Linked DNA regions of Ovis aries. The protein of the gene in region 1 interacts with the protein of each later gene in a pairwise test. Links are inferred from orthologs where the notes say so. Each region holds a gene or a part of one and is shown in the gene's direction. Other genes may lie near its edges.

The links.
Region 2: the proteins of TCHP (region 1) and DYDC1 interact in binary tests that used the Homo sapiens proteins (3 or more experiments, as listed by UniProt). The two-hybrid records come from large-scale screens. The link is inferred for Ovis aries from reciprocal best matches to the Homo sapiens genes TCHP and DYDC1.

Annotation. Positions count from the first base shown.
Region 1 is NC_056070.1:63,503,532-63,508,376, reverse strand, and holds the start of TCHP (trichoplein keratin filament-binding protein), read left to right. Parts: upstream 1-1,462; 5' UTR 1,463-1,575; intron 1,576-3,024; coding exon 3,025-3,218; exon of another isoform or gene 3,219-3,229; intron 3,230-4,066; coding exon 4,067-4,277; intron 4,278-4,845. UniProt on the Homo sapiens protein: Tumor suppressor which has the ability to inhibit cell growth and be pro-apoptotic during cell stress. Inhibits cell growth in bladder and prostate cancer cells by a down-regulation of HSPB1 by inhibiting its phosphorylation.
Region 2 is NC_056078.1:34,775,949-34,780,349, reverse strand, and holds part of DYDC1 (DPY30 domain-containing protein 1), read left to right. Parts: intron 1-2,862; coding exon 2,863-2,919; intron 2,920-3,742; coding exon 3,743-3,844; intron 3,845-4,401. UniProt on the Homo sapiens protein: Functions as part of axonemal radial spoke complexes that play an important part in the motility of sperm and cilia. Plays a crucial role during acrosome biogenesis.

The DNA of each region.
Region 1 (4,845 bases):
GGCACAGTAAAACTTTCAAGACTTGCTGATCGGAATCAGGCAAAAGAAAGGTGTTCAGAACACTCTACCGGCAGGATCTAGGAGAGGTTTTTAGAAAGAAGATGTGAAAGCAAGGAAATCGTTTGATTGGCTGTAACTTAAGAGGTTGCCTTGTTTGGGAAAGCCCAGTTGGCTGTTTGTGAGTGCTAAATTTCATTTTCTCCAATTTGGGTGCTTTGGCTCTGGCCTAGGTTTAGGTTGACCTGCATCGGCTACGGAGGTGTCACAGCCTTCCCAGTCTAATGGGCTCCTTTTTCAATTACTTGAACATTCTTATTTCACGGATGAGGACACGGAGGCTCAGAGTGACGAAGTGACCTGTCCAGACCACACGACTGTTGTGGTGGAGGCTGCAACAGAGGTCACTCTGTTCAACCAGACTTTATACTGCATCCAGGGAAAACAGAGAATTGAATAAAAGAAGGAAGCGGGCGGGCGGGCCTTCCCTGGTGGTCTGGTGGTTAAGAGTCCAGCTTGCAATGTAGAGGACCCAAGTTTGATCCCTGGTTGGGGAACTAGGTTCCCACATGTGGCAGAGCACCTAACCCTACAAGCTACAACTAGAAGATGGGAGTGCCCGCGACTAAGACCCCAGGCAGCTAAATAAATAAAATTTAAATAAAAAAAGGAGGAAAGGGTGAAGGAAAGAATAAATGAAGACAAAAATGGGAAAATGAAAAGAGCCTGAATAAAAGAGTTAATACTTTTGCTTTTCATTTATTTTTGTCACACTGCAGAGCTTGTGGGATCTTAGCTCCCCAATCAGGGATTGAACCCAGGCTCTCGGCAGTGACAGTGGGCTGTCTTAACCATTGGACTGCCGGGGAATTTCCAATCTTTTAATTTCATTTTTTAAGAGAATAGTTGGTACATAGAATGATACACGTAGCATGTGAGTTATAAAACATACTAACAGAAGGAACACCCTTGAACCCACCACCATCCTAAAACAATAGAAAGTTGCCAATAGCTCGAACCTACTTATATCAGCGGTTCTTCGAGCTGGCTACACCTTGAACACACCTGAGGGGCTTAGACAACCACAGAGTGCTCGATGGGGTTTGTCTGGAGTCCGGTTTGGACATCTGGATTTTTCAGAGCTCTCCAGATGATTCTCTTGTGCAGCCAGGTTTGAGGGTGACTGGCTTATAATTCCCTTCCCTATTATATCCCTCTGATTTTCCCCGACGCTCACCTGCCTCCCTCAGGTAGCCATCATCCTGAATTTGGTGTAGTGAATGGATTCTTTTCCTTAGACAAGCGATGTCTGCGATTGAGCTCCCGCCCACCACGAGGGGGCATCGGAGAAAAACACAGACTTCTTTTCTTGCTCTGCGCGCCGAGTAATCGCGCTGCAGGAGGCTTGGCCCTCGCGGCGCTCCATCGCCGGCCCGTTGCCTCGGCAACGAGCGGGGAAACGGCCGGCGTAAGTGCAGCGCTGTCGGAGAGGGTCGCCGTGGCCCGGGCAGGGATTATTTGGGGCTTGCGGGACCTTGGGCCGGGGCAGTCTTGGGAAACTCCGGCGCGCAGAGAAACGTGAGTCGGGGGTTTGGGCTCGGTCGGGGGCCGGCGTTGGGGTCTGGACCCTCAGAGCTCTGCCGCAGTCGGCTCCGCGCTGGCGGGAAGCGCGCCCGCCGTCCCGGGACGCGATCGCGGGGCGCCCGGGGCTTCGGCTTCCAGTCCTCACTCGGCTCCCCGCGCGGCCTGGGTCCGACCCTTTCCTCTGTAATCTCTTTTGTTGTATGTGGCTGAGAGAGGGATGCGACTTGTTCAGAGAGCCTCCCAGCTTGTTGTTGATGGTTCATCTGGGGCCGGAATCTTCACTTTCCTCAATCCTCGTGCAAAGATTTATCCGCAGGCGGCCTATGGGGCAAAGAAAAATGTCTGTCAGGCCTGCCACAGTCTGAAGACAGATTTGACCTGGCAGTCTCAGGCTAAGCTTGACTCATAGACGCAGATCATTTTCCTCCCGGTTCGGAGGACTCTGAGTTTGTTTATTTGCCAGAAGCTCCTTGAGCACTGTCACAGCCAGGCACTGTGTAGACCCTGCACCTGGGGCAGCTTTTGGACCGGGAGTGGTTGGGGGGAGATGTCCGGAGAGACTGGTTCTGCTTTCGAGTCTCCGCCCGTGTCCCCAGATCGCCCCCTTGACCCGTGCAAATTGATTCTTCCCTCTGGGTGGTAGTTTCTCCATCTGTAAGAAGGAGGGATCTCCCTCCATGCTCATCCAGAACATTACCAGGTGTGACACCTGGAGATAGCAACCCACTCCAATATCCTTGCCTGGAGAATACTATGGACAGAGGAGCCTCGTGGGCTACAGTCCATGGGGTTGCAAAGAGTGGGACAGGACTTTGATTTCAGCAAGCGACTTTCATTTCACTTCACAGCCAGGGCATGTTGGTCCCAACAAGTACCATCTTGCAGTCTACAGAGCTTGGGCCCTCATCCCAGGCTAACATGAATTAGGCTCCCAGCTCCTGTTTAAATTTCCTCTGCTTCCTGGCTTTGTGATCTTCAAGTCATTTTACCTCTTTGAACTTCAGTTTCCTCAGCTGCCAAAAACAGCAGGGTGCTAGTAACAATGAAAAAGGTCATATAAGTCAAGGGCTTGGCCCACATCCGCATGCCTGCAGTTATCCTCTCTGTTACCTTAGGCAGAGCGCAGAAACCCTCCGTGTGCCAGTCCAGTGTCGTCAGCACTGGCTCCCTGTCTCTGCACTGCCCTTACTGATGTCAGGCTCACAGCTGGGTGCAGTCCAGGCTTCTTCAGCTAGATGATTTGGGGTCCTGGTAGCAAGTCATTTTTAAAATGCTGGTGCCTGGGAGCCTGCACTGAGATTTTTTTTTTTTTACTTAATTGGTCTGCCTTGGGGCCCAGGCTCTACCAGGAGATCCCAGTGTGCAGCCCAGGGTGAGGACCGGGCCTCAAAGGGGTGAGGAGCTGCAGCAGGCTCCTGTTCTTAGCGCTGCTGTTCTCCTCAGATGGCACTCCCCACGCTGCCCTCCTCCTGGTGCAGCCGGCGGCTCCCAGATCAGCAGGCCGCCCGACAGCGCCGCCAGGAGCAGGAGGCGCATCTTCGGCAGCAGTGGGACCAGAACAGCCGCTACTTCCAGATGTCCGACATCCGCAGCTCCAAACAGGCAGAGTGGAGCTCCAGGGCCTCCTACCAGCGGAGGTAACTGTGCGGTGAGCACCTTCCCTTAGGGCTGGAGGGCCACCTACTGCCGGGAGATGTGACTGACTCAAGGACCTGGGGGAGGGTGGCTGGCCGGCGTGGATACTTGCATGGAAATGTGATGATTTCCGTGGATACTCGCATGGCGATGTCTTTCCAACTGGAAACTGAAAAGAAGGTCAGCAGTGAAGTAACACATTTGACTGAAAAAGATAAGATGATGAGACGTGTATGTAGAATCCGGAAGTCCCCCGGTAGCCCCATTTCCCCAGGAGAGAACCACCGTGAACTGTCTGGTCCGTAACCTCCCGTACACTTCTTCATCTGTTTTTGTGTGTAAATATAGATACAAGCATACACCCATTTTTATAGAGAGAGATACATACGAAAACACGGAAGTTAAAAGCATGGGCTTTGAAGTCACACAGACCTAGATAGCAATTCTGACTATGGGCTTTGGAGTCGGACAGACCTAGATAGCAATTCTGACTGTGTCACTTGCTGTATGAATGAGCCTCAGTTTCCTCATCAGTGAAGTGGGGCTAAAACAGAACCTAATTTATAGGATTTATGTCATGACTACTATAAAAACCATCCAGGTTATGTAGTACATGGTAACTACTCAGATAATATTACCATGTGCATAGATACGCCTCTTGTACATTTCCTTGCAAGAACAAGATTCTATTATGCATAGTGGTTCTATTACCTGGCCTGTTCACTTTGGCTGGAGGACGCCTTCCCAGGTCACCATGTTCCATGTGTCTCAGCCTGTCACCCACACAGCCAGCCATGTAGCCCCTGTGCAGCTGGAAGCATCCAGGCTGATGGTGGCCCCTCTCGCCCAGCATGCATGCTTACCAGCGGGAGAAGATGAAGGAGGAGGGCAGGAAGCGTCTGGAGGCCCGACGGCAGAGACTCAGGCAGCTTCTGGTGGAGGAGCAGGACTTGCTGGCCAGACAACTGGAGGAGCTGAGGCTGAGCATGAACCTGAGGGAAGGGAGAATCCGGGAGCAGCACGGGAACCTGAAGGCGGCCCGAGAGGAGCAAAGGAAGCTGGTAACTCCGCGTAGCTCTTCAGCAGGGTGCGAAGCCCGAGTCCCCGGCCTGTCGGTGAGGCCACGAGGCGTCTCCCTCAGGGGCCGAGATGGCAGTTCACTACAGAGCCAGCTGAGAAAAGTGCTGACTCTGAGTCGTTGTTCGTGTGTATTTTCCAGGAGTCATCTTTATTCTCTTGGGCCCCTTAAATCATTATATCTGAGTCCCTTTTCTTTATTCTAGTTCTCTGGTCCCATGAAAGGCTGGGACTGGTGTATTTTAACTTAACTTCCAAAGTAGTCCTGTGTAGTGGTGGTCTCTAAGCTGTGTTTTTAAGCCTGCTGTATATTTTGAAGTAGATCTTTAGCATCTAGGACCCATTTGTAGCATCAGATTTTGGCCCCTTTTTATCACCATTATAAGAGTCATTTGTGGGAACTCCCTGGTGGTCCAGTGGTTAAGACTCCACGCTCACTGCTGAGTGCCCAGGTTCAATCCCTGATCACGGAACTAAGATCCCACAAGTCGTTTGGCGTAGCCAAAGAAATGAGTCATTTATCAGCACCTGATTGGTGTCTGTTGAGAGCCA
Region 2 (4,401 bases), on another chromosome or scaffold:
AACTGAATATTTCATATTGTATGCTTGCAACTATCAATTGTTATCAAATGTTATTCCTCTACTTATTCCATGATTAAAATTTTAAAAATTTAAAATAGAAGCAGGTTTTGTAGAATATATTTATTAATGGCTTAGATGAGAGTATCATTGTTTAAAGCAATTTAAAAAAGTAAATTAAAGGGTAAAATAAATTTTTTTAAAAATGAGATTTAATTAATTTACTATTTTTTTCCCATCGATGTACAATGCTTATCATTCTATAAGAGATGAATAAGAATTGTTTTTACAAAGTGAAATCATTCAGTCCTGTTGTAGTTCAAGTGTTGGTAGACTACTTTTGTGAGTCAAAAAGATGAGATTTTAAAAGGATAAAATCAAATACCCATACAGAGTTTTAAAAACAGAGGTGCTGATGTTGTCTTTGTCTGAATGAGGGTAGGGTACATGGATATCCACGCATGCACACACATGTCAATGCACACACCCTTCCGCTTCAGTTAAGACTGAGTGATCGCAAGTAAAAGAAGAAAACTCAGAATACATCAAGAAGATAGTGATCAAAGTGATAAAAGAATTGAAAGTGTGTCTTATTGAGATGTCCTGATAGTTATAGCTGAGTGATATAGAAAGTCTGTGATTTACAGGAGGGATTGGCTCCACAGGGTCCCCGTTCATGTTGCTTACTTTCTGGGCATTATCAGACTGAGTGTCCAGAGCTGCAGTGACATTAATAATCCATATTCCTACTGGCTTATCACCCCTTTCTTTCCTGCAACATACTGCCTTGCTTGGAGGCAGATTCATCCAGGTCTTTTCATCCTGGCCTTCTTGTGGCTTCAGAGACATGACTTAAACTATGATTTGCAAAAGGAAATGTATTGGAAGGCTCCTGGGTTGAAGCAAGGGTTTTACAACTGAACTGTGAAGGGCTTTGGTTGAGCTGGGTCTTCCAGGCCTCTGGGGGCAAGAGAATCAGCGCTGCCAGGGCTCACACCTCTGCTGGTGCCTCTCACTGCGGCCTGGTTCGCTGCACATGGGTGAGGGTCACCATGGTCCTTAATGCTTCCTGCGTCTTATAATGCTGTGGCTCCGACCATCCGAAAGGAATGGATTCCTTTCTTTTAGGTTTCAGTTAAGAGAAGAATCTTGGGAAGGATTCTGACTGGATGAATTTATGTCAAGTATCCATCCCTTGGTTGGGGAACAGAATCCTATGAGAACATGAATTTTTCCGTCAAAACCACGAAGTTGTGGGATAAGATGTGTGCAGGAGAAGGGAGTGATCTGGAGAAAAGCATATAGTGCTAAATTGCTTCCATTGTGTCTGACTCTTTGCAACCCTATGGACTGTAGCCCGCGAGGCTCCTCTGTTCATGGGATAATCCCAGCAAGAATACCGAAGTGGGTCGCCAGGGATCAAACACATGTCTCTTACATCTCCTGCACTGGCAGGTTGGGTTTTTTACCACTAGCGCCACATGGGAAGCCCATATGTACCATTCAGTTCACTTCAGCTGCTCAGTCTTGTCTGACTCTTTGCAACCCCATGGACTGCAGTATGCTGGGCTTCCGTGTCCATCACCAACTACCAGAGCTTGCTCAAACTCATGTCCATCAAGTTGGTGATGCCATCTAATCATCTCATCCTCTGTCGTCCCCCCTCTCCTACCTCCCATCTTTCCCAGCATCAGGGTCTTTTCCAATGAGTCAGTTCTTCGCATCAGGTGGCCAGAATATTGGAGTTTCAGCTTTAGCATCAGTCCTTCCAATGAATATTCAGGCCTGATTTCCTTTATTGACTAGTTGGATCTCCTTGCAGTCCAAAGGACTCCCATGTACCACATGTGTCCCTAATCATCAGGGCCATTATATAAACGGTCACAAGATGACTCACCCTTGGACAGCTGAAGTGAATCAGCTCAAGAGCAGTTAAGTCAGCTTGCTGCCTTAGAATGAAAAGATAGAGGCCACAGCAAGGTTTGGTTTGTTTAGAAGATTCTGGGTTTTCACATTCAGAAAGCAGTGTCCTATGTATTCAGAGTGCTTTATAGAGGGCATTGCCAGGTGCTGTGGAGAGGTCACATGTATTAGGTAGCGCCTTGGGCCAGACTAATTGCTTTAGAAATATTTGCTTCTTTTTCACTATGTATAAAATTCTACTTAACTGAAAGTTCTTTCAAAGTCTCTTATTCTAAGAGTTTATTAAAATTTTTGTCACTTTTCACTTTTGTTAGTAATTTGGCTTCAGGGTTAGTGTTTCAGCCTATTTCATTTTTTAAAATATTCTGCTGCTGCTGCTGCCAAGTTGCTTCAGTTGTATCCGACTCTGTGTGACCCCATAGATGGCAGCCCACCAGTCTCCCCCATCCCTGGGATCCTCCAGGCAAGAATACTGGAGTGGGTTGCCATTTCCTTCTCCAATGCATGAAAGTGAAAAGTGAAGATGAAGTCACTCAGTCATGTCTGACTCTTCATATCCCCATGGACTGCAGCCTACCAGGCTCCTCCATCCATGGGATTTTCCAGGCAAGAGTACTGGAGTGGGTTGCCATTTCCTTCTCCAGAGGATCTTCCTGACCCAGGAATCAAACCCAGTTCTCCCACACTGTAGGCAGACGCTTTACAATCTGAGCCACCAGGGCACATTTTATTTAATTATAAACAAAATATGGTAGTTGCCTATTAATAGAGTATTAAATGAGGCTGTATCTGTACTTGTGTATTCAGATTTCTTCTTTAAGAAGGTCAGCATTTTTGCTCTTAAATGGGTCATAATGTAAAAATGAAATGCTTAAAAATTAAACATGGAATCAAAATGGAAAGCATATGCAAAGTATTTTTCTCCATTTTTATATATTATAGGAGTTGAGAATGAGCATGGAAAATATGGCTAAGGGTGAAGATACTTTACATGGAGAGGTGAGAACAAAAAGTTATGTTATGGGATACGAATAAGTATCCTGGATTGTGACACTAAATTTTGGTGCATTAGTAGATACGTTTTAAAAACAATTTTATTTATCTGTGTTTGGCTGTGTTGGGTCTTCTTGCTGCAGAAGGCTCTAATTGCAGTGAGTGGGTGCTATTCTCCAGCTGAGGTACCCGGGCTTCTCACTGTGGTGGCTTCTCTTGTTGTGGAGCACAAGCTCTAGGGCACGCGGGCTCCGTGGTTGCAGTGCCCAGGCTCAGTAGCTGTGGCACACAGGCTTAACAGCTCCTGCAGCATGTTGGGTCCTCCCGAACCCATGTCTCTTGCATCGATAGGCAAATTCCTTAACACTGAGCCACCAGGGAAGCCTAGTAGCCAAAGTTTTAATATGGAGTTTATCAAAACTGATAGTTCAAATACATAATCTAGTAATAACAAGTCACAAATAGGGTGTACTTTAAAGCCAAATCTCAAAGTGGATAAAACTGGAATATCCAGTTTGTTTTTGTATTTTTAAAAACCAGAATATTATGAGATTATTGACCATATGATTACATGCAGTGATATGTTTTAAATTTTATGATGTATTTTTTAAAAAACACATTTTAGCCTTTGTTTTTGGAATTCACTTGTCACTAACAGGTATTGGTTCATTCCATTAACTGACAATGTTGAATGTTGATGTTATAATTCAGAAATGCCTTAGCAGAACTGAAAGCAAATTAATGTATTAATCTCAAAGTCATTTGAAAGTGAAAATGAATTATATGATTCATTTATGATCAAGATTCATTTATGATCATATGGTTATAGGATGGAGCCGACTCAGGCAAAACACTAGCTGAGATTAGTGATCGATATGGGGCACCAAACTTGAGCAGAGTGGAAGAACTCGATGAGCCAATGCTCTCTGACGTAAGTATCCTTAGGAAAGTATTTTGTGAAAAGCAGAGTTTCTTGTTTTACTTGGGAAAGCCCAGTGTCTCTCAGGCCAGGGTTGGATGGCAAAGTCAGTCTTTTGCTTCACAGAAAGAAATCAGCTTTCTGGGTGCCAGCTTTTTTCTAATTGGTATCCTGTGCAGTGTGCTGCTGGCCCCAAGAGTGAGGGCAGGCACTGGTCTGGCTCCACACAGAAGTGTAGGCGCTGGTGGGGAGGTAGCTGGGTATTAATGTGGAGTGAGCAGTGTACCCTCCTGTGCAGAGGGTGATACGGTTGTTCGGAAGTGAGGCTTTGAAAATTTCAAAATCTTTTCAAAATGTATATTTAAAACCATGTGGTAAAATACATAATCTTTAAATTTTGGGGGCCGATATTTTGGTTCTCAGTAGTAAACCATGGAGCCAAGTAAATAACCTAATGAGCGTGCATGCTTTTACAGTATTTATGTACGTTAGCTTATTTAATAATCATACAGTGTTTCCTGGGCACACATATTGTGCCCAGTACTTTTATGGCCAAAACAAGTCGTTCT